Linked DNA regions of Oryzias latipes. The protein of the gene in region 2 interacts with the protein of the main gene of each other region in a biochemical or structural test. Links are inferred from orthologs where the notes say so. Each region holds a gene or a part of one and is shown on either strand. Other genes may lie near its edges.

Region 1 (5,009 bases), on a different chromosome or scaffold from region 2:
CACCCCCTCAGGCCTTCTCGTCTCTGGCGGAGGCGGCGTACGAAGCCACGGACGCGGCAGAGGACCAGGAGGAGCCCAGCACCTACTGCCTGTCCTCGTCCTTTGAGATCATCGTGCAGAAGCTGCTGGAGACCACCGACAGGTACCGCCTTCCTGGCCGTGCAGGAGCAGCGGTCTCAGCGGCGCTCCGTCCCGTCTGGTTGGTGTGACACAGTTGTGTGTTTGTTGTGTCAGGCCTGATGGTCATCAGAACAACCTGCGCTCGGCGGCCTACGAGGCTCTGATGGAGATCGTGAAGAACAGCGCTCAAGACTGCTACCCCGCCGTACAGAAGACCACGCTGGTCATCATGGAGCGCCTGCAGCAGGTCTTGCAGATGGAGGTAAAACTGGAACCTGGAGAAGAAATGAACAGACTCAGGAAGTCCACTGTAGTCTGTTGTGATGCAACTTCCTGTGTTTAGTCCCACATCCAGAGCACCTCGGACAGAATCCAGTTCAACGATCTGCAGTCCCTGCTCTGTGCCACGCTGCAGGTAAGACTCAGCACTTCCTGTCTCACTGTGGCGGTCTCTGGGCACTTCCTGTCTCACTGTGGCGGTCTCTGGGCGCTTCCTGTCTCACTGTGGCGGCCTTTGGGCACTTCCTGTCTCACTGAGGCGGACTCTGGGCACTTCCTGTCTCTCTGTGGCGGACTCTGGGCACTTCCTGTCTCACTGTGGCGGCCTCTGGGCACTTCCTGTCTCACTGTGGCGGCCTCTGGGCGCTTCCTGTCTCACTGTGGCGGCCTCTGGGCACTTCCTGTCTCTCTGTGGCGGTCTCCGGGGGCTTCCTGTCTCTCTGTGGCGGACTCTGGGCGCTTCCTGTCTCACTGTGGCGGCCTTTGGGCACTTCCTGTCTCACTGTGGCGGACTCTGGGCACTTCCTGTCTCACTGTGGCGGCCTCTGGGCGCTTCCTGTCTCACTGTGGCGGCCTCTGGGCACTTCCTGTCTCTCTGTGGCGGCCTCTGGGCACTTCCTGTCTCTCTGTGGCGGCCTCTGGGCGCTTCCTGTCTCACTGTGGCGGCCTCTGGGCGCTTCCTGTCTCTCTGTGGCGGTCTCCGGGGGCTTCCTGTCTCTCTGTGGCGGCCTCTGGGGGCTTCCTGTCTCACTGTGGCGGTCTCTGTGGCGCTGTTTGCAGAACGTGCTGAGGAAGGTGCAGCACCAAGACGCGTTGCAGATTTCCGACGTGGTCATGGCGTCCCTGCTGAGAATGTTCCAGAGCACGGCTGGCTCTGGCGGCGTGCAGGAGGATGCTCTGATGGCCGTTTCTACTCTGGTTGAAGGTATGTTCACGTGCACACGCCTGTGCATGTGCGTGGCGCTCCGATAACTCCTGTGTTTCTTTAGTTCTGGGCAGTGACTTTCAGAAGTACATGGAGGCTTTCAAGCCCTTCCTCGCCATCGGACTGAAGAACTACGCTGAATACCAGGTGAGCCCGCCTCTCGGACGCTCTTGGGGGTGAAGGGTGAGGACGGCCTGAGCGTCATGTGACCTCGTTGCAGGTGTGCCTGGCGGCTGTGGGGCTGGTGTGCGACCTGTGCAGAGCTCTGACCTCCAACATCCTGCTTTACTGTGACGAGATCATGCAGCTGCTGTTGGAGAACCTCGGGGTGAGCTGAGACGCCACCGCTCTTCCCAGACAGGAAGTGGGTTCCCGCCCTCATTGGGGGTGTGTGTGTGCAGAACGAGAACGTGCACCGATCCGTGAAGCCTCAGATCCTCTCGGCGTTTGGAGACATCGCTCTGGCAATCGGTGGAGAGTTCAAGAAGTATCTGGACATCGTGTTGGACACCCTGCAGCAGGCCTCGCAGGCGCAGGTGGACAAGGTCAGGAGCGTGCACGTGTGTGACCTGCAGCACACCTGCTGACATGCACAGGTGAGATGACGATGACTTGTGTTTCAGACGGACTACGACATGGTGGACTACCTGAACGAGCTGAGGGAGGGCTGCCTGGAGGCCTACACCGGCATCATCCAGGGCCTGAAGGGCGACCAGGAGAACGTGCACCGTAAGAGCGCGCTCGCACACCCCTTTGGTCACATGACAGCAGCGACGGCGGTTCCTCTTCCTGTCTGAAGTCAAGCAGGAGGATTTTACGCCGTCGCAGAGAACTGTGGGTCTTTTCACCCAGAAAGCTGCAGGTGGAGCCCGCCAACACGGCTCTCTGGTTTTGTGGGACCCCACAAACATGTAAACAAAGATGTAAACAATCCAAGCCAGACGTAAACAACAGATGTAAGCAGATGCTCCGCCCTCTTGTTCTGCAGCGGACGTCATGCTGGTGCAGCCCCGGGTGGAGTTCATCCTGTCCTTCATCCACCACATCGCCGAGGATGAGGATCACTCTGACGGAGTGGTGGCCAATGCTGCCGGCCTGATCGGGTGAGGGGCGGGGCTAGAAGGAAATGAGGCGTCTAACAACCTGGCTCCAGGCTAAATTGGAGTTGAATTGTTCTGAAACATTTTCTTAAATCCTTCAATGTACCGTCTATAAATCAGTAAAGAGGCTGTTATAAGCAGCCGCAGGAAATACTGGAATGACAGAAACGACCAGAAGATGCTGCTGCTGCAGATGCAGCTGCTGCAGCTTCTGCAGCTGCTGCAGATGCAGCTGCTGCAGATGCTGCTGCATTCACTTGAATGCAGCAGCATCAGCAGCAGCTGCAGCTGCTGCAGATGCAGCTGCTGCAGATGCTGCTGCAGCAGCTGCTGCAGATGCTGCTGCAGATGCTGCTGCAGATGCTGCTGCATTCACTTGAATGCGATGCTGCATTTCCCGCCGTTGTCGTGTGTAGAAAATCTACCTGCACGAACAAGTGGGGTTTGAACAGACCCTACTTCCTGTTTGTGCGGGGGCCTTGCTACATTTGTTGGGACCAAAGACCTGGTGGGTGGCACTGGGTCTGACCATGGACGGTTTCCGAGAACTGGACTGAGTGACTCCTCCCCCTGGCGTTCCAAACAGGAAGTAGCTGCAAAATCCCACAGACCTCTAGAGAGAAATAAACAGCGGTGACTCTGTCATTCTATTGGTCGGTATGGCTGTAGCATGTTGACTCTCACAGTAAAAGCCTCAGCATGGTCACTTGTCTGTCGCAGCGACCTGTGCACGGCGTTTGGAAAAGACGTGATGAAGCTGGTGGAGGTGCGCCCGCTCATCAACGACCTGCTGACGGAGGGCCGGCGCTCCAAAACCAACAAGACCAAGATGCTGGCCACCTGGGCCACCAAGGAGCTGCGCAAGCTGAAGAGCCAGGCCTGGTGAGCGTCCGACCTCTGACCCCGCCCTGCTGCGCTGCAGCGGCGAGTTCACGTGTGTCTGTGTGGTTGCAGATGGGGGGCATTCGTGACATCAGAGAAGCTTAAGGATGAACGGCGCCGGACGAGCGTGTTGGAGCGCCGCCGGCTGCAGTGAGATGAGTGTCTGTGTGAGCGCGATGATGACATCACCACCTCCAGTTCCAGCAGGCCACACCCCCACCACCCCTCCCCCTCCCCCTCGGACAGCCTGCCGACTGGACTCTATCCCCGCCCCTGCAACAAACCCGCCCCTCTGCTCGTTTTCTAGCTGGACCCCATATGACATCATGATGATGTCACCGGCCCACTGCTCCCAGCAGCAGGGTGGGGGGGGTGGGGGGCTGGACCACTCTGGACTTCTGGGTTTTTGTCGCTCTTCTTTTTCTTCTTCTGAGCGCGGTCGTGTGCTCAGACCCCGCCCCCGCCAACAGCAGCACTAACCCGTACAGGTGAACGCAGAGGAGCAAGTGCCAAAGGAACGCGGCGGCGGTGGCGGCCGGACTGGAGCTTCAGCCCCGCCCCTGCTGCTCGTGGGAGCAGTCCCTCAGCGTTTGTGCGCGTTGACACGATTTCAGAGAATTGAAGACGTTTGTAAAGGTTCTATTTTTCCATTGCTGTTAAAAATAAAATGTTATCAAACATTCCCGAGCAGTGCTGTGATTCTGGCTTCCTGCGGTCCACGCCCCCCCCACTGGACTTTGGAAGCTGGACTCCGGACGCCCTAAGGACTTTTTTTAGTCTACTGTTGGGGGGCCGTTGCGGTCTGGGTAGAGCTGTCTGGATCCTGTGGTTTTACCATCAGTGTTCAAGCTGCACTTGTGTGGGCTTTTATTTTGAAAAGATGCTGCAGCTGTAGGGAGAATGCACTTCCTGTGTACGTGAACCACATGCTGGATTGTTGCATTGTGAATCACTTGAAGCCAGTCTTCTTTTCAACTTTAGTGAACTAATAAAGTCTATATTGTTCTGAAGTTCTGCTTCTGTCGTCGTGATGAAGACGCTGGTGGACCTGAAGGTCGGCGACTTCCTGGAGTCTGAGGCTGTTCATTAAAGCACATCTGAAGTGTGGTTCCGTTTGGGAACCACAGACTCTGCTGGGCCACCAGAACCGAGTGAGGATCCAGGAGATCCTGACGGAGGCCAGCCGGGCCGGTGAGGCTCCACCTTCTGAAGTGTCTGTTAAGTGTAATCCTGACCTCCTGTTTCCTCTGACCTCTGACCCCTCCATATCACTCTCATACAACGGGACTGCCCCCCCCGGGCGGGGGGGGGTTGAAAGTGAACCGACAGCTGGTCATGAACTGTAACGTGACCTGTGGCCTGGACTCTGCGGCAGCGGTCTGGGGACCTACAGAGCCGCCCTTTGGCGCACTGATCCATGGTGATCTGTAGGATCTGTAGTGATCCGTGGTGATCTGTAGGATCAGCAGTGATCCGTGGTGATCTGTAGGATCAGCAGTGATCCGTGGTGATCTGTAGGATCAGCAGTGATCTGTGGTGATCTGTAGGATCAGCAGTGATCCATGGTGATCTGTGGGATCCGTAGTGATCTGTGGGATCCTTGGTGATATGTAGGATCCGTACTGATCCCCGCTGATCTGTAGGATCAGCAGTGATCCATGGTGATCTGTAGTGATCCGTGGTGATCTGTAGGATCAGCAGTG
Region 2 (5,475 bases):
AAATACGCTAAGCAAGAGCATGCTTAATGTCAGGATCCACACCTGCCTTCCTGTTTCATCTCATGTTTTGCCTGTGTCACCAGTGCGGATTCTTCAAGCGCTCCCAGAAGGACGACAGCGTTCCTCAGTACCACGCGGTGCGGATAAGGAAGGAGAGTGTCGAGCGTGAAGATGCAAAACTCAAACCTGATGTTACTGAAAAGAAGCAGTGGATGACATCATGGATGGACAGTGAAAGTTACTCTTGAAAGCTGAGATCATTTGTTCGATAAATAATCAATCATTCTGCTGACATCATTTTTAATGTGTAAATCCAGGATTTACTGGTTTCAGTACCTTGAATTTTGACACTGTACAGATATATTTTTCTATGTGCTGTTTGTTTTTTATGGTTTCTGCACATTTTGTATTTATTTTTGTATAAAAAAAAACATGGTGCCAAAGGTTCGTAATAACAGGTTTACAGCTGAGATGCTATTGTTGTCAAATCTATGCAAAGGTACAAGTCCATCACTGTGGAATGATGTCATTTTACTCATCGCCTGTGTTCCCGTCAAGTTGAAATCTCTCACTGCTGTGATGTTCAGGTAGCATCCACTGTACTTTAGATCATCACTGAATCGGATTGTTTTTATTTTTATTCAATCCAAAGGGAATGTGCTAAAAAGACTGTTTTTATGGGTGTAACTGCTTCTTTTTGTCATATATAAAACAATTTAAAGAATTATTTCTAATGAATCTTCCTTTTCTATATAAAAAAAAAAACATCTTCAGCTTCTCCGTAAATTAAGTTTAAAACATTGTTTTGACAAAACTCAAACAAATGCTGAAGTCAATTCCCCTTCAAACGAGTGTCATAGCAAAAACATCCTAATTGAAAATCCACCTTGCAAGTATTAACCCTTGTGCTATCCTAGGCACTTTAACATTGGGAGTGGGGTCATCTAGACCCACTAGACAGTGCGCTGAACCTTTTTTCTTCAATGATTTGTGATCTTCACTGGTGTCCATGGATTACATGAAATCTTTCCACCTTTGTCATGGTAGGGAGAACACGTCAATGTAAGGGTGGGGTCATCTAAGATAGCACAAGGGGTAACATCAGTCTTAGAACAAGAAACAAATCTTGTCATTAGATGTTTTTCAATCCTAAATATAGATAAAAAACAGGTAAAATTAGGATGTGAAAACACAAAAAAGTTCAAAATTTGTTTTTAATCATTCTATTCAGGTAGATACAATTATAAAGATGATTGCATTTAAAATAGTTTTGCAACACACAATAGAAGTATAATAAAGGAGAAAATCCAAAGCAAAATGGGAAAAATAAGCACTGAGCCAAAAAACAAATCAGTCAAAGGTTAGACGAAAGGTCTTCTCCTGCTCTTTGCGCTGGGTGTCGCACTGTTTGGACACTTCCTCCACTCTTCTGTGCAGCAGGACAGAGTTCTGGTCGATCCACTGCAGCGAATCCATGTGAGCATTCAGGATCTTGCAAATCTGCTGAAGCTAAAGGATTCAAAAAGAAAGGAAGGCGATTAAAACAGCAGAAGACTTGATTTTATGAGAAATATGATTTAAAAAAAAAAGGCTCAGATCTTACTGGATCACTGGTGTCTGCCGGCCCGCTGGATGTGTTCAGGTGCTCAATGATCTCCTTCAGGTCCTGTGACATCCTCTTCAGCTGGGCGTCCACGTTCTCAGCGAGCTTGTATGTTCTTTCGCGTTCCTCGTCTGCGTTCTGCATGTAGATGGTTCCGCTCTGCTCCTTCACAGTCTCTTCCAGAGGGCAAAGCAAGTCCTCCAGCTCCTTCTGCTGGGACAGAATGAAATCGAGCTCCTGGTTGAGCCTTCTCTGGTCCAGCTTCACCTTCTCCATCTCCTTATGCAGAGACGTGATCTTTTCCCCGTTCTCCACCAGCATTCTGTCCCAAGCGTTGACCTGAGTTGCCTGCTGTAAGAAATGCCTCTCTTGGTCCTGAAGTTCAAGACTCCACTTGTTTATGAGACCCTCCAGCTGGGCGTAGGTCATCACCGGAGGGGCCGTGGTGGTGGTTGTAACGGCTGTTGCTGTGGAGGCTGTTGTGGAGCTTGAGATGGTCGGAGGTTTGAATCCCAGCGTGAAGCCTGCGGTGGCATTAGCTGTGACAGCTGCAGTTGTTGTGGTGGTGGTGGAGCCGGTGTTTGCTGCTGTGCTGGCAACGGACCCCAGAGGCTTGAGCATGAAGGATGGAGCTGTACCTGCAGCTGTGGATGCTGCCATGCTGGTTGACAACGCTGGAGCTGCACCCAAAGTAAAACCTGAAGTTGGCGCTGCTGCAGAGGTTGTGATGATAGGTGACGCAAACAGAGACAGGCCTAGGGTGGGGGCTGACTGGGTGGGGGCTGACTGGGTGGATGCGGGAGGAGCTGGTGTTGATGAGGGTTTAATTCCGAAGTTAAACCCTCCACCCTGGGTTGGAGCTGCTGGAGCTGCAGCTGCTGGGGCTGGCTGGGTGAGGGTGGAGGGGGCAGGGGTCCCGAAGCTGAAGCCTCCTCCCCCCGCTGCGATGGTTGTGCTTGCAGCTGAGGTCACCTGGACTTTCGGCGCTCCGAAGCTGAACCCTCCGAAAGCCATGCCACCTGATGCGGTGGTTGTTGTAGGTGCAACTGTCGCTGCGGGTGGGGCCTGGGAGGTAGCCCCAAAGTTGAAGCCCCCTCCCGCTGGAGCGGCGCTGTTCGTCTGCGAAGACAACATCCCGCCCAGGGTGAAGCCGGACCCCGCAGCTGGAGCGGCCGAGGAGCCTAAGGTCAACCCAGTGGCGGCGGTGGTTTGGGTAGTCGTGGCCAGGCCGAACGTGCCGGTGGCGGCGGCGGCGTTGGGTGTGCCAAAGGAGAAGCCGGTGCCGCCGGCGGAAGAGTTCTTAGCCGGTGCGCCAAAACTGAAGCCACCGGTCGGGTTGGCGTTGGTCTGACTCTGAGTCGGAGTGCCAAAAGAGAAGCCCGTTCCCGAAGCCGCAGCCGTGGAGTTCGTTAAACTGAAGCCCGGGGCCGGAGCGGCCGCTGTGGTCTTCTGCGCTCCGAAGGCAAAACCCGAAGGTTGCCCGAAGTTGAATCCGCCACTCATGTTCTTCCTCTGATAAAAACAAAATGACTTTACAGCTTACGAACAAAATGGTATCTTTCACCACAGTTTTTGGCGGGTCGCTAGCACGAGCTGCCGGTTCAACTAGCTTCACCGAAGAAAAACCGTCTAATGAGAGGACTTCTTACGTTAGCCACGGATATTTTAAATCATAGTCTAATAACTAATTCTTTCACTGTGCCGGTAAATATAATAATACTAGCGAAGCATCTTTAAAAAAAACGTGGGTAACTGACCAAACGTTTCTTTGAGCATACTTTCTGTTGTAGCTAAAGGAAGTGACGCCACTTTCAACATGCAATTTTGCCCTCAATTCTGTCTGTCAGAGAAAAAGCCCCACCCTCTAGTTTAGATTGACATCCTTAACACCAAATTACTGTGCCGAAATGAAAAATGCTGACATTTGATTGGTTTTTATTTTTTAACCTTACAGACAAGCACTGGGGATCAGAGCGACGGCATTTCAACCAGTCAAAGAGTTAATAGAGGACAAGAGATGCACAGAACGCACTTTTTAGTGTCGTAGATATGAACTACATGTTAATAATTCCTCTTGCATTTTGCTAAATAATTAAAATTATATAAATTCGTTTTGTTGTTAAACGCTTTAAAGTAAAACAACATATATTTTATTTGTCACGCAAATATGTATTACTTTCTACATTAGTGGTGTTTTTAGCGGTCTAATCTAACCCATCTGATATGCGGGTTAGGAACCAAAAGTGATCAATTTGTAGGTGGCGAACATCCCAAAAGTTGTATTCCAACCACCATAAAATAAAAGCAGAAGAATAATCTATTTAAATTGCATAAAAGTTGTCATCTTTATTTTATAAAGACTACTGCAAAATAGTTGCGTTGTTCTCTCGGCGTCGAATCAACTCTTTGAACTTGCTAGCTCAGCTGCGGAGTGGGTGCGTTTGCCGTGTTGACTTTTGACTGAATTTTACAGAGGACGTCCGAAGTGAGGGATGATGCTTTAGTCCGTCTGTGACCATGCCTGCAGCAGGAATTCAGTCCAAGTGGAAACACGGTCGATAATCGCAAACGTGCGGGCGAACTGCTGAGTTTAGCCAACAAGCTAGTGTGTCAACAAGCGTCACATATTTATTGTTGTGGCCGCGTGCGCCATAAGAATTCGGACGTGTCGTGTGTGTTTGAAATCTGATCAAGTCGAGGCCGGAGAGCAACATGAGGCTTTTAAGGTTCCTGAGGAAGAGCGTGGCGGTCGGGAAGGACATTGACTATTACTCAAAGTTTTCTCCTTCGCCTTTATCCATGAAGCAGTTTCTGGATTTTGGTAAAATGAATTTTAGATGCTTTAAATATAGTTGTAATTTACTCCCCCTCTCTCTATGTGTGTGTATTCTAGCTTATGGTTGGAATTTTAAAGGATACTTTAAAGTATTTTTGAAAGTCCTCCATGTTTTTGTCTTCCTTCAGGTTCTGAAAATGCATGTGAGAAAACATCCTTCGCCTTCCTCAGACAAGAGCTCCCTGTGAGGCTGGCAAACATCATGAAGGAAATTAATTTGCTGCCAGATAATCTGCTGAGAACTTCATCAGTTAGCTTGGTCCAAAGCTGGTGTGCTTTTGTTTTTATTAATATTTTCCTATGAGTTTTCTGTTTGCACACACGTTTATGGATATTTTCCATCCCTAGGTATATGCAAAGTTTCCAGGACATCCTTAAATTCAAGGACAAAAATGCAGACAATGAAAAAGTCACACATGAGTGAGTCGTTTTTACTAGTGGACCAGTTCTACAGTCTGGTTTTACACATTCAACCTGTAACGGGTTTTTGATCAGGTTCACAGATGCAGTCATCAAAATCCGAAACCGCCACAACGATGTGATTCCCACCATGGCTCAAGGCGTCGTGGAGTATAAGGAAACCTACGGCACCGACCCAGTCGTCAGCCAGAACGTTCAGTATTTTCTGGATCGGTTTTACATGAGTAGAATATCCATCAGGATGCTGCTGAACCAGCACAGTGAGTGAAACATTTGCTAACAGAACTCTTAGGTGTTCACCTCATTGCTGTATTGCTCAAAAGCACGTGGAAGTGAATTCAAATGAAGGGGGAAAACAAAGACTAGAAAAGCATAAAATAATCAAAACTGACGAAACATCAACCAGGGAAAACAAAAAGTCAGAATTCAGAGAAAAAGTGGGGCTTATCTGACACCATGATGACTGACATTTTTATTAAAATGACTAAAAAAGTCTTTCTTCATGGATCCACAAACAAAAAATAGAGATAATATAGCAAACACACATTTCATAGCCAACAAAAAAGGAAACAGATTTGTTTTTTAGTGTTTTAATCTTCAAGGTCCATGTACGGTT
Region 3 (5,583 bases), on a different chromosome or scaffold from region 2:
AACTTGATTCTCTCGACTTCAACCAGATGTTCCAGTGTCTATCCTGTCCACCTGGATGTCAACTAGCAGCAGGTCATCCTGACTGGTTCTGCTGGAAGTTTCTTGCTTTTGATTGTTTTCACTTTGAGTAATGGCCCGTAGTGCAACAGTTTGTGAACTGTTGGCAAGTTGGCACAACATAAACTGAATGCGGTCAAATCATCAAACTTTTGTAATAAGGTGCAGGGACAGTCTATTGACTTCACTGAAGACATTCAAAAACATAGCATGGGTTTGACTCATTAGCAGTGGTTACATGGACAAAAGTAATCGGAATAAACGCCTGATCAGAATAAAAATGCATCATGTAAACACGCCGTTTGGAATACTCTGCCCCAACCAGACTCATTCGGATCAAAATTTCCTTCTGATCGAGATAGGTGGGTTATGCTAATTTTTGATCCGATTGTGGCTCAATGCTGCGCTTGTTTTAACATGTGTAAACAGTGTGCCACTCCAGAGGATGCTTTGGAGCGCGAACAGGACGGACCGACTCATAGCTTCTTGTTTGCGAGCAGGTGGTTAGGTGTCAGGGTGTGCGCTCCGGAGGAGGCTTCGGACCGCAGTCCGTCTGGCTGTTCTTTGTGAGCAAGCAGACTGACCCAGGAGAACAGTGTCTCCTGGGAGAACGGTGTCTCTGAGGAGAGGAGTGGCTTTGGAACGATGTGTGAACTGGCGGAGGCAGCTTTTGAATGCAGAAATGCAACTCCACACAGTCCTGAGAAACCGTATAAACAATCATGTGAATTTGTGTTTCCAATCATGTCCAGACAAAATAAAGGCGGATGTTATTCCCACATATTTACATGCAGCCAAGATGCCCATTGCGGCATTGCCCGCACAGAGTTTTCAAGTTCATCCACGGCTAAATGTTGTTAGTACGTATTAGCCCAATCCTAACCCTTCTTCTTCTGGTGTAGGTACCATAACCGTTCTTCCGGTACCAGAACCGTTAGGCCTGGAACTTCCGTTCGGGGTCCTCGGACTAATGCTGATGTCACATTATGCGATTGGCTGAAGGTTGGTCCGATGACGTGTCAGATAGTCATTGGTCTTGACAAATTACGATACTACCATAGAAGAAAATATTATGAAGTCTGTTGTAAACAAACAGCGCTCCGACATAAAGCGAAATTCTCTTCTAAACGTGCCTTTATTATTGTTATGATTATTATTGAATGCGTGTTTGCTTATAGTTTTTTTTTCCGTGCGCCCAGTGCTTTATCATTGGCAGAGCGGTCCCGGAAGAACATTTAGCCGTGCCGGCAACATTTTCAGCCACGGCTGAACTTAAACTGGAATAACAAGTGGATTGTGGCAACATGTCTTTATAAAAATTACAAAGAATATTGTCCGATACGATTTATGAGGGAAAATAACTTTAGGTTACAAAATGGAACGTGAAATGAAAATTTGTAAAGCCCGAGCAGATGTCGACGCTACAAAGTTTGTCTAAGTGGGGTTACCGTAGTGTGACATTACCATTAGTCGAAAGGACCCCGAACGGAAGTTCCAGGCCGAACGGTTGTGGTACCTACACCGGTTCCGTGCAGCCAGCAATAAAGCACTGGCCACACACATTTAGAAAATTAGGAGCGAACAGGTACTTAATAATAATCATAACAATAATAAAAGCATGTTTAGAAGATTAACTCGCTCTATGCCACAGCTTTGTTTACAACGAAACTCTCCATTTCTTCTTCTATGGCCGTTTCCAGTATTCTAGATAGTTCTGCGTAAGTCTAAATGATTTATGTGCAGTAGATTAACGAAACAGTTTCTAATTTTTTTTATTTATTAAGAGGATCCTTTTTAGTTTACTGTAAACAAAACAAACACACGTGGAATGACTGTTCTCAAATATTCCTTGTGTTACTTGTATACTTTTCAGGCAGTAGTGGGTGTGTATGAAAGGCATGCAGTCACATGACTGTTGACCAATGAACAGTCACTGACATTGATGTCATCGTGTACAAGACCAGATCTCTTATTAATAGAGAGATGTAAATATCTAAAGGTGTAGCTTTGCTATTCACTGAACATCTGGCTACAGATCAGATACAATTATATTTTTAGACGTCAAACATAACCCAACTAACAAAACCACAGTGCCTTTTACCATCACAAATATGTTCAGTCATAAACCACTAAGTTTTGAAAAAAAGTGAGAATTACAAAAAGGTAGCATTAAGAGCTGAAGTTTCCATATGCTTAATGTTTGTGCATCATTCTTATTTATTCATCTTTGCATGGAAAACCCTAGCATAGGTTTAAGTATTTCACAAATTGTTGATTTAGTTAAGGAAAACACACAGCAACAAACACAGAAACACCCACATATATGGATCCGAGCAGCGACCTATCAGAGTCAAACATCTGGTAGTAGTGCTGCACGAAGCTGGATCCTATCTGCTCCCACAGAGGCTGGTCCACCATCCTGAATCACCCTGCAACACAACAGGGATGATGATTACTGGTCATTCTTAAAGTTTCCAAAACCAGAATGGAGTCAGAGACTTCAGCTAGCAGACTCTTCTTTTGTGGATCCAACTCCCAGCTTAATTTCTAGGAGGCAGAAAGACATTCTGCTAGTCGTTCTACGCGAGTATTCAGTGACTAATTAGATTTTTTATTCTTTAACTTTGTTGATAGATCTTTTCTTTTCATCTAATGCACAACAGTAAATGTCATTGTAACAGAAACTTGTCGCTCCTGTCTAAAAGAGCTGTTTTTTTCCCCCTGATGAGATTTATTCATACATGTTTATTTAGACATGATAATTGGTGAAATGTTAGTTAGAATAATGAATAATAGATGCAAACAAATAAGGAAGTGGGAAATTCTCAAGTGGAGTCAGCTGTTTTTTGGGGAGGCCACTTCCCACTGATGCTCTACTGTTTTCGAGGTAGTGTCATCACTTAATTACCGCTGTGAATTTTTTCTATCTCCCACAAAACAAATTAAAATCTCGTAAATGCATAATGCTGTCACGGTTGTACATATAAAGTGGCCGGTGAATGTTTGTTTGATTGAGCGCCACCTATCGGGTCCCACCGCGGAAATGACAGCACTGGTCACGTGCTCCTTCATAACGGCGCACGGTTGTTGCTGGAACGATCTATGCTAGCTAAACATTAGCAAAGAAAAACCCGGGTGGGCACGAGACTGCAGAAAGTGCACACCCCCTTACACAAAGAGGACAGCACAGTGAAGGAATAAAATACTACTTAGAGAAACAAATGCTACAACAGTAGAAAAGTTCGTATTTAAAGATAGCATAATGAGGAAGCCGCTGCTAGCTTGTTTGCTAACTCAACGGGTGCTAATGTTAGCCAGTAGAGAAATTATTCTCTCAGGCGGTGGCTGCCTCGCTGTCTCCCTGACAGACCGACAGGCCTTCTCACCGGCTTCTAAAAATATCTGTCAGCACTGTGCTGATTTCTCCTGTGGGCCCGCGCACATATTTTTGGAACACCCACCAGCAGGAGTGGCGAGACGACACACACAGGAGTGTCCGCCGTCCGTTGGCCCCAAAGAGACGGCGCGTGGAAGTACAAAGACATCGCGAACTTTCCTCAAACCTTCATCCAAACTGCAAATGTTTAGTTTCGCAAGAGTTTCCATTCACTAATGTGCACACAAGTACTGCAAACTTACCTCTCACTGTCGCCGACCCCGGCTGCGTGATGGTACAGTTCGATATCTTCTACGTTACGAGAGCACGTACAGAGCCGTAAATGCCCCGGTGTATTGTGGGGACTGTAGTAAATTAGAATTAAAAGCAAGTGCCCGTTGTTTTCCAAAATTACGCCGACCAAACAGTTATGATACAAGATAGGAAACATCAAAAACCACTAGTTTGTTAAAAATAATAATTTTTGAGCTATTTTAATCCATCATTCCCAGAACTGAGAGGCACAGAAATGTCTTTTTTTTCTAGCACTGAGTGTCCCACTTTCTCTAAATAAGAATTAACAGTTTGGTCAGACCGTGAATTAAAAAAAACCCAAATAGGAATTTAAAAAAGGGAGTGGAAATGTCTTAAGTATTTTCATTTTTTAACACACTAACAATAGGGATACCTGTATATAGATGTCAAAGAGTAATAGTTAAAAATATTTCTTTACCCAAAGTCAGAAAATCAAAATTTACAATTTAAATATATCAGTGTTTTTTGTTGTTGTTTTTTTGTTTTGTTTACAAAAGTCACAATTAATCTTCTGTCCAAATTTATGAACATGAATTACATAAAACAACTGATATCTAAATGTTACATCATAAAGTAGTAAGACAGAAAACTAGGAGTTAGTGGATGGTATGGTGAGAGCCACGGAGTCAGCCTAAAACCCACAAAAATTCCTGAAATACCCCTAATTTTTCTTTTTTTATCATTAACTTAGTTTAAAACATTGCTCAGGAATTTGAGTGTGGTCGTAATGTGGGTTTAGGAAACCAATAGGGAGCCAGTTATTGCTGTTCAGTGGGCTGGTGGGATGTAACAGTTGTGTCCTGGGCCCCAGGAAACATTTGGAACAATTTTGTATATACATTTGATTTTATTAGGAAAATGTTTTCAGTTTCTCTGGTTTTTGAGACACACCATGCTGTTAGTGTTTAAATTCACTCTTGTAAAACTATTTTCGGTTCTTAAAAATCATATTTTGGTTGCAGTGCAAAGATAGAATTCAATAATCAAATTGCAAAAAGTCATTTTAATCAGTACTTCTGAGCTGTGCTAAATAGAAATGAAAAGTGTATGTATGATGCAGGACTTGTGGATAAGAAGAGACTCCGAAAGCAAAAAAAAAAAAAAGAAATTAAGATAAGATAATAAACAATTACAAAAGGCATGGCATAGATTTCACGCCCCTCTGAAGCAACACACTGTGTGTGTTTAAATTGTGTGAATATATTGATGTAATTTGAACTCATGAGCCTGCTACTCCTTGTGGTCATGGAGGTTGATCAGCTTATTGAGCTGTTCTGGTTTGGTTTCCTGTTCTTCATCCACATGAACCTCCGTCTGGAAAAGAACAAACCACTGGTTTGAGCTTTAAGAAGAACATTTTGTTGAAAAAGTGCACTCACACTGGCAAGCTTGATCTGTACATTTCCACTGATGGTCCAGTTTGTTTGACAGGTGTCAAAGATCACCAGAACCACGGTTGGCATAGTAACAAGGATTTTAGTTCATCTGCTGAGGATTTCCAATGAACCAAAGAGCTGAAGTGAACAAAGGGAAGCCAAGGCTAAACGCCATGTGCATTTGGAGTAGAGCAGGGGACAAGTTATGGCCCCTATTTCTACATTTTTCCTCCTTGTTAGAGCTTTTATAGGATAATAATCACCGCCCCAGATAAGGAACTGTTTGAACTACATGATTTTTTAAGGGAAGTTTGGTTTGAATCAGATTGAACCTGCTGAGATTTAACCAGACAAACCAGACAAGAGCCGATAAAGCACATTACCTGCACAGAGGTTGACACCTGGTTCTTGGGCTGCAAGTTGCCACTTTTATGGAGTTCCAGCAGGGTATCGTATTCA
Region 4 (5,523 bases), on a different chromosome or scaffold from region 2:
CCGGCTTCAGCCTCAGTGCGTGGCGATAATGCTCGATGGCCTCCTGCAACTGACCACGCTCCTTGTACACGTTTCCCAGGTTGGAGTAAGCCTCTGCAAGCATTGGATTCTGCTTGATGGCCAAAGTACTGAAGTGAGCAGACCTGTGAGCAAAAATATAAACACAGTTAACCCTCAACACCGACACGGTCACCAGCGGCAGAAAACACACGTTTGCGCTGATTTACATAACTTTCCTGTCGTTGCAGTGGTTTCCACGGTGTCGAATTTTTATGCAACGATGTTGACAATCAACAAATAGACAATCGATAGTTGTTAGAAGAAATATACATAATTTAAGCTGTGTTTTTAAAAGTGTGTCATCGTAATTTATGTTGTAAATATAAGTTATTATTGTGAAAAAATGTCTAGGAATTCAACCAGAGCAAAACTCTTGTCAGAACTTTGAAAGAAGAGGAGTTGGAAAATCAGGAGATGCAGGACGGTCTTCATCCCGCATGCAAGTAAAACATTTATGTACAAAAAAGTGCCAAGGATTAGATTTACCAGAAAAGTGTAATTTTAACTATTGCTGTCATGTTTCTGTGGTACTCCGATTTTTTTATTTACTTTTATTGCATTGCTGCATATCTGTACCAACAAAGATGTATTTCAGCAAACATGCTACTTGCATTGTTTGTGTTACACAAATCATACAGATTTGTCATTGATTTACATTAGGGCAGCACAAAATGAGGAACACTCGCAATATGCGGTATTAGTGATCAATATCATGACGATGACATAACTTACGATACATAAAAAAATGGAAAAACAACCAAAAACAATTCCCAGTTCACTGGTACAGTTTAATTTAAATAAGAGTTAAACGTAGTCTACATAGGAGGCCAACATCTAACATAACAGATCCGATTGGTCAAATGCATTAAGGGATTTTTTTGATTCGTTACATACTTCAGGCTGCCATAAGACTGTTTTAGCACATTTAAGATTACCATTCATTGCAATTTTGCGGTCTTTTGCTATACGCGTATTGCACAGCTTGATATCGCAATAATGATACATTTGTGACTTATTGTGCAGGCCTAATTTACATCATGCTGTCTGCATTCTGACTTTCTTCTAATGAGAGTGGATATAAAAAAGGAGTGTTTTCTACAAAAGAAGCACCCCTCAGATTTGTGACAAATGTAGAGTTGGCCTGTGCTTTCAACTGGAATAAAACTGCCTCAAAGTCTGCCATATGATCAAAAAATGTCCCTTCTATGTTTGCAGAAGCTGTAGAAAAATAAAATACAATCGTCCAGACAAACAAAACTGCTTGTGCTACTTCAAACGAGTTAACAATAATTTCAAAACATTTAGATCAGTTAATCTAGGTTTTTTATAAGAAAAATAGTCATTACAGTTATTACAATTTGAGTAAATTTGGAAGTTAAATATGTACTGAATAAAGAGGCAAAAGACTTCACTCTAAAGTTTTGAGACAATTTATTGTTAATTAAAATAAGGCTGGGGAGGCCAATTACAATAAGCTTTGTGTTGACTTTAGTTCAAGGTTTATCAGTTCTGTCGGTGATTAGAGTGAAAATACTAGGAATAAATGTGTTGCATGATTAAAATTCTCTATACTGGAAACAGTATGGTAGATGCTGATTGTCGATGATTTGTGACTTACCTAAAATCATATCTATTTTATGTGTTCTTGTCAAATTTACCATCTCAATTTTATTTAGCATCTACTTGAAAACAAAAACATGTTTTCATAACTGGAAATAAATTCAGGTGTCAAAGGATTAGGGAATCATCAATAGAGGCCTCTTTAAGAAGTAGAAATAGCACCTCAGCTAAAAAACGGCTGGTTTCTTCTAACAATAAAGAAAGTGTTGGAAATACCATTTCTTGATCCTTTCATTTGTAAAGCCCTTCCATTCTGCTGCTCTCATTTGCCAGCCTGTATAAAGTGTTCTCACCTGTCAAGTCTTCTGCACTGGAAGTGAATGGAGGACAGCAGCAATAACACTCCAGTATTATCAGGCTCCTGCCTCCACAGCTGCATGCAGTGGCGCTCGGCCGCCTCAAAATCTCCTGACTGATACTCCCGGTGTGCAAGCTCAGCCAACCCTTGGAAGGAAAGCATACGTTTTGTTGGTTCTGGACAACCAACACAGGCCAAGGAGGGGGGAAACGACATGTTAGAGGTGATGAAAGAAAATAAAGACGACAAATGAAAAAACAGGAAGAAATAAAAATAGAAGCAAACATGACAATGTTTGTATTAAAATAAATGCCTGACAAATGTAACTTCAAAATGTGATAATGGGTAAAAATGATGACGTCACAAGAGGGAACATAAGGGGGACACTTCACAACTTTTATACAAACTATAAGCATCTGTACATATAAATTAATTACAATTTAATGTATATAAAAAATGCACACTGACGCTTTTTTCCAACTAAGGAAACGCATAATTTATATGTCAGACTAGCTTTTCCAAAATGCAGAGTAAACGAAAACGTTATTAAGTCTATTCGTCATCAAACAGGTGCATCTTGATAGAGAACAGGGAGATTGTGGCTCCACCTACTGTAGCATCTACGTCACTGCTACAAGCTTTTTCCAACAGCATTTTTATCATCTGCTGCTGCTAATTCACGATTGAATTTTAATCTTAAATTTCTTTACATATCATCCATTATAAGAAAAATGCTACACGAACAAGTTAAAAACACGATTTTCATCGAAGTGGGTCTTTATTGTGGGGGTGGGGTGTGTGGAAAAAAACTGCACCACAACGCACGCAAAATCTGCTAATAATCGCGTTAAAGTTAGTTTATCGTTAAAACTGAGCTTGTTCGTCATTTTCTAATTTTGAAAAACATATATCCCTAACATTCGCCGTCCCTCCCAAAAAAAAATGAATTAAAAAATAAGATATCTTTGAAGGCATTTTAGTAGGACACTTCATTTCAGCGCCCTTTATTGCAAACCGAAACGCCCCTTAGCTGGCGGCCATTTTCTCAGACAAAAACCACGAGATAAATGTTCAGTTTAGGATTTAAAAAAATAAAATGTATGAACATAGTGACGCCCAAGGAGGAAAAATGTTGCAGCGCCAAAGATTTAATCGTTTCCTACCCATTTAAACGTCACATCTACAAATACCAACGCTAGCTCGTCTTGACTTAATACTGTTTAGGTTAAGACGCCAAATGAAGGAATATTCGGTACAAATTGGCGAAAAATATAATAAAATAGCCTTATTATAATATATCTATTAATACATATAAATTGGTACCGTGGTGTTAGAAGAGCGGCGCTACTGGTTTACATACTAGCATCCTCATTTACCTTATTGCTGTGGATTACCAAAAGGGTCATTGTTAGATTAAAATTTACTTTTAAAAACTATTTTAAATCGTTGCTTCTTTCTAAAGGAGGTGCTTTTATTTTTTTGAGCCACTAACCTGTACTGTCTGCCACGTTTCCCACAGAACTCGCCATCTCCCCAGCAGTCTTCGTTTCTTGCACGGCGGTCGTCAATGTGTCGTCTGGGAGCTCACAGCTTCAGAGAAAAATAGATGTATTTCTTATAACTAACTGTGGTCTTTCTGAGACGAAAACTGAAAGCACGTTGTTGTCTGGCTAGGTAGACCGGGTTATAGTTACCTACTAATCTCGTATTCAGAATAAATTTCCTAAAGCCCTACCTTAAAATGCCGCTGTTTGGGTATATTTACACAGATAATGTAGTTACTGCACCTACATATGACATAAAAAATATACCGCTACCGTTCACGATATTCTATCTGCACAACAAAGCAGCTAGTGAACGTAAAATGGCGAATTGGGTGGAACTCGTTTTTGTGATCAACTAGATCCTGACACCGGCATTGATTGAAAATAATAGTTGGGCATTAATACATGTGACTATAAACCCAATATACATTATTATTTTTATTGTATTAAGAAGTTATACATATACATATATATAACCTGATGTAAAATTATACACTTAAGGTAAAACCACGCGGAAGAATACAATGGTGCAGTGAGACTCAAACGGTAAAAGGAAGCAGCACTGCTCGGAGGTATCTGAAAGAGTCACGTGTCAGCTGTGCTGCGAGGAAGTGGAAGGTGCGCTGGTCTAGTAACAAACACATCAACATTACATAACCGTGGGTTGTTTGATTTCTTTTTATTTTCTTTTAGTTCTTCTTGTAGTTTTATTTATCTTTTTATTTTATTTTAGTTCTTCTTGTAGTTTTTATATATATAGACACACACAAAAAACATATTCAAATACACACAAAAGAAGTTCAGATAAGATTTGTAATTCCAGGGACATTTAACAGGTGTTAGCTTTTATTTTATTTTTAACTGCAAAGGGTATTTTCTTAATGTGTAAAGCAAGCATTAAATGTACAATCTACTGTTAAATATCTTTCCACATAAATACTGTTTACTAATCCTTACTAGTTACATATATTTTGTCAACTGATTTTTTTTTAAACTGTAGCCTGATGGATAGAGTTCTGGTTAAATCAACATCAATTGCTATGTGAAGGAAGTTGCCAACAGGCTCAGTTTACATTGAACATCACTGACAGGATGTGTTTGCACCAGAATAACTATTCTTCTAATCTTCAAGTCCCGAGCTTAAACAACTTTATTTCTATTTCTTTTTAAAATATTTCTAGGACTTGCAGTATGTTTATGGTTTTTTTCAACCAAGCAATTTTCCTGCAAGATTAATCGACATCTTCTAACACATCTTATTTTTTGCCAATATTTAATGTTTTTCCTTAATATGTTTTGCCAACATTGATATCCAAACATAAACCCTTGTTTTTCTTTTCTTAATTATGTTTAAATTAATTAGTTTTTGTTTTAACCAAATGTTTTTTAACCCTGTTTTTGCAAACAGCAAATGTACATTTAAGATAAAAAAACAAACAAACTCCTGTTTCTGACATATTAAAAATGTTGCTGGTGTGCTGATGCTGTGATCTGTCATAAATTTGCAAATAAACCAGTTTACTGCAAATTTTAAAATCTACTGTTTACCCTTTTTTCTCTACTGTTTTAATCTATGCTCCTATGCATGCATGCACCATTTTTGTTGGTTTTTTTAAGTGTGCATGTACATGTATGAATGAATACAAAAAATGCTTTTTTTTTTTCAAAAGCACTATTTAAGGAGTAGCTACTCAAATTTTGTTGCAGGAATACAATGTCAAATAAGGCATTAATGATTCTGAATATTAGTTTTAAAGTAAAATATTGGATCAAATTTTCATGATTCATTGTTAATACAAATGAATACTTATACCAATATTTTGCCATTATTGGAACAAGACAAACAAATCAGAATGCTGTTTTTTTATTTATTATAAATCTACTTAAGTAAAATGGAAATATCTGGGTTAAATTTTCTCTAAAACTAAGGTTTACATTTCTTAATTTTAAAATGTTATTACAGTCAATCTATCTCTTTAAACATAAGTATGTATTACAAAC

The links.
Region 1: the proteins of nup62 (region 2) and kpnb1 form a complex in vitro, tested with the Homo sapiens proteins (2 studies listed by BioGRID). The link is inferred for Oryzias latipes from reciprocal best matches to the Homo sapiens genes NUP62 and KPNB1.
Region 3: the proteins of nup62 (region 2) and nutf2 form a complex in vitro, tested with the Homo sapiens proteins (3 studies listed by BioGRID). The link is inferred for Oryzias latipes from reciprocal best matches to the Homo sapiens genes NUP62 and NUTF2.
Region 4: of the proteins of nup62 (region 2) and ogt, one has a biochemical effect on the other in vitro, tested with the Homo sapiens proteins (2 studies listed by BioGRID). The link is inferred for Oryzias latipes from reciprocal best matches to the Homo sapiens genes NUP62 and OGT.

Annotation. Positions count from the first base shown.
Region 1 is NC_019866.2:166,115-171,123, reverse strand, and holds the end of kpnb1 (importin subunit beta-1), read left to right. Parts: intron 1-11; coding exon 12-142; intron 143-234; coding exon 235-382; intron 383-463; coding exon 464-535; intron 536-1,179; coding exon 1,180-1,324; intron 1,325-1,388; coding exon 1,389-1,471; intron 1,472-1,544; coding exon 1,545-1,652; intron 1,653-1,725; coding exon 1,726-1,869; intron 1,870-1,947; coding exon 1,948-2,053; intron 2,054-2,095; exon of another isoform or gene 2,096-2,233; intron 2,234-2,312; coding exon 2,313-2,427; intron 2,428-3,144; coding exon 3,145-3,306; intron 3,307-3,378; coding exon 3,379-3,379; 3' UTR 3,380-4,316; downstream 4,317-5,009.
Region 2 is NC_019879.2:22,073,160-22,078,634, forward strand, and holds nup62 (nuclear pore glycoprotein p62), read right to left. Parts: upstream 3,423-5,475; 5' UTR 3,107-3,422; coding exon 1,604-3,106; intron 1,510-1,603; coding exon 1,351-1,509; 3' UTR 1,197-1,350; downstream 1-1,196. Other genes in the region: itga6 (integrin alpha-6), read left to right, coding at 84-248; pdk1 (pyruvate dehydrogenase (acetyl-transferring) kinase isozyme 1, mitochondrial), read left to right, coding at 4,316-4,424, 4,568-4,709, 4,788-4,859, 4,935-5,119. UniProt on the Homo sapiens protein: Essential component of the nuclear pore complex. The N-terminal is probably involved in nucleocytoplasmic transport.
Region 3 is NC_019864.2:24,337,420-24,343,002, reverse strand, and holds the start of nutf2 (nuclear transport factor 2), read right to left. Parts: upstream 3,801-5,583; 5' UTR 3,697-3,800; intron 3,675-3,696; exon of another isoform or gene 3,519-3,674; intron 2,487-3,518; 5' UTR 2,476-2,486; coding exon 2,377-2,475; intron 1-2,376. Other genes in the region: tsnaxip1 (translin-associated factor X-interacting protein 1), read right to left, coding at 4,979-5,062, 5,508-5,583. UniProt on the Homo sapiens protein: Mediates the import of GDP-bound RAN from the cytoplasm into the nucleus which is essential for the function of RAN in cargo receptor-mediated nucleocytoplasmic transport.
Region 4 is NC_019868.2:18,365,760-18,371,282, reverse strand, and holds the start of ogt (UDP-N-acetylglucosamine--peptide N-acetylglucosaminyltransferase 110 kDa subunit), read right to left. Parts: upstream 3,834-5,523; 5' UTR 3,508-3,833; coding exon 3,471-3,507; intron 2,155-3,470; coding exon 1,974-2,154; intron 144-1,973; coding exon 1-143. UniProt on the Homo sapiens protein: Catalyzes the transfer of a single N-acetylglucosamine from UDP-GlcNAc to a serine or threonine residue in cytoplasmic and nuclear proteins resulting in their modification with a beta-linked N-acetylglucosamine (O-GlcNAc).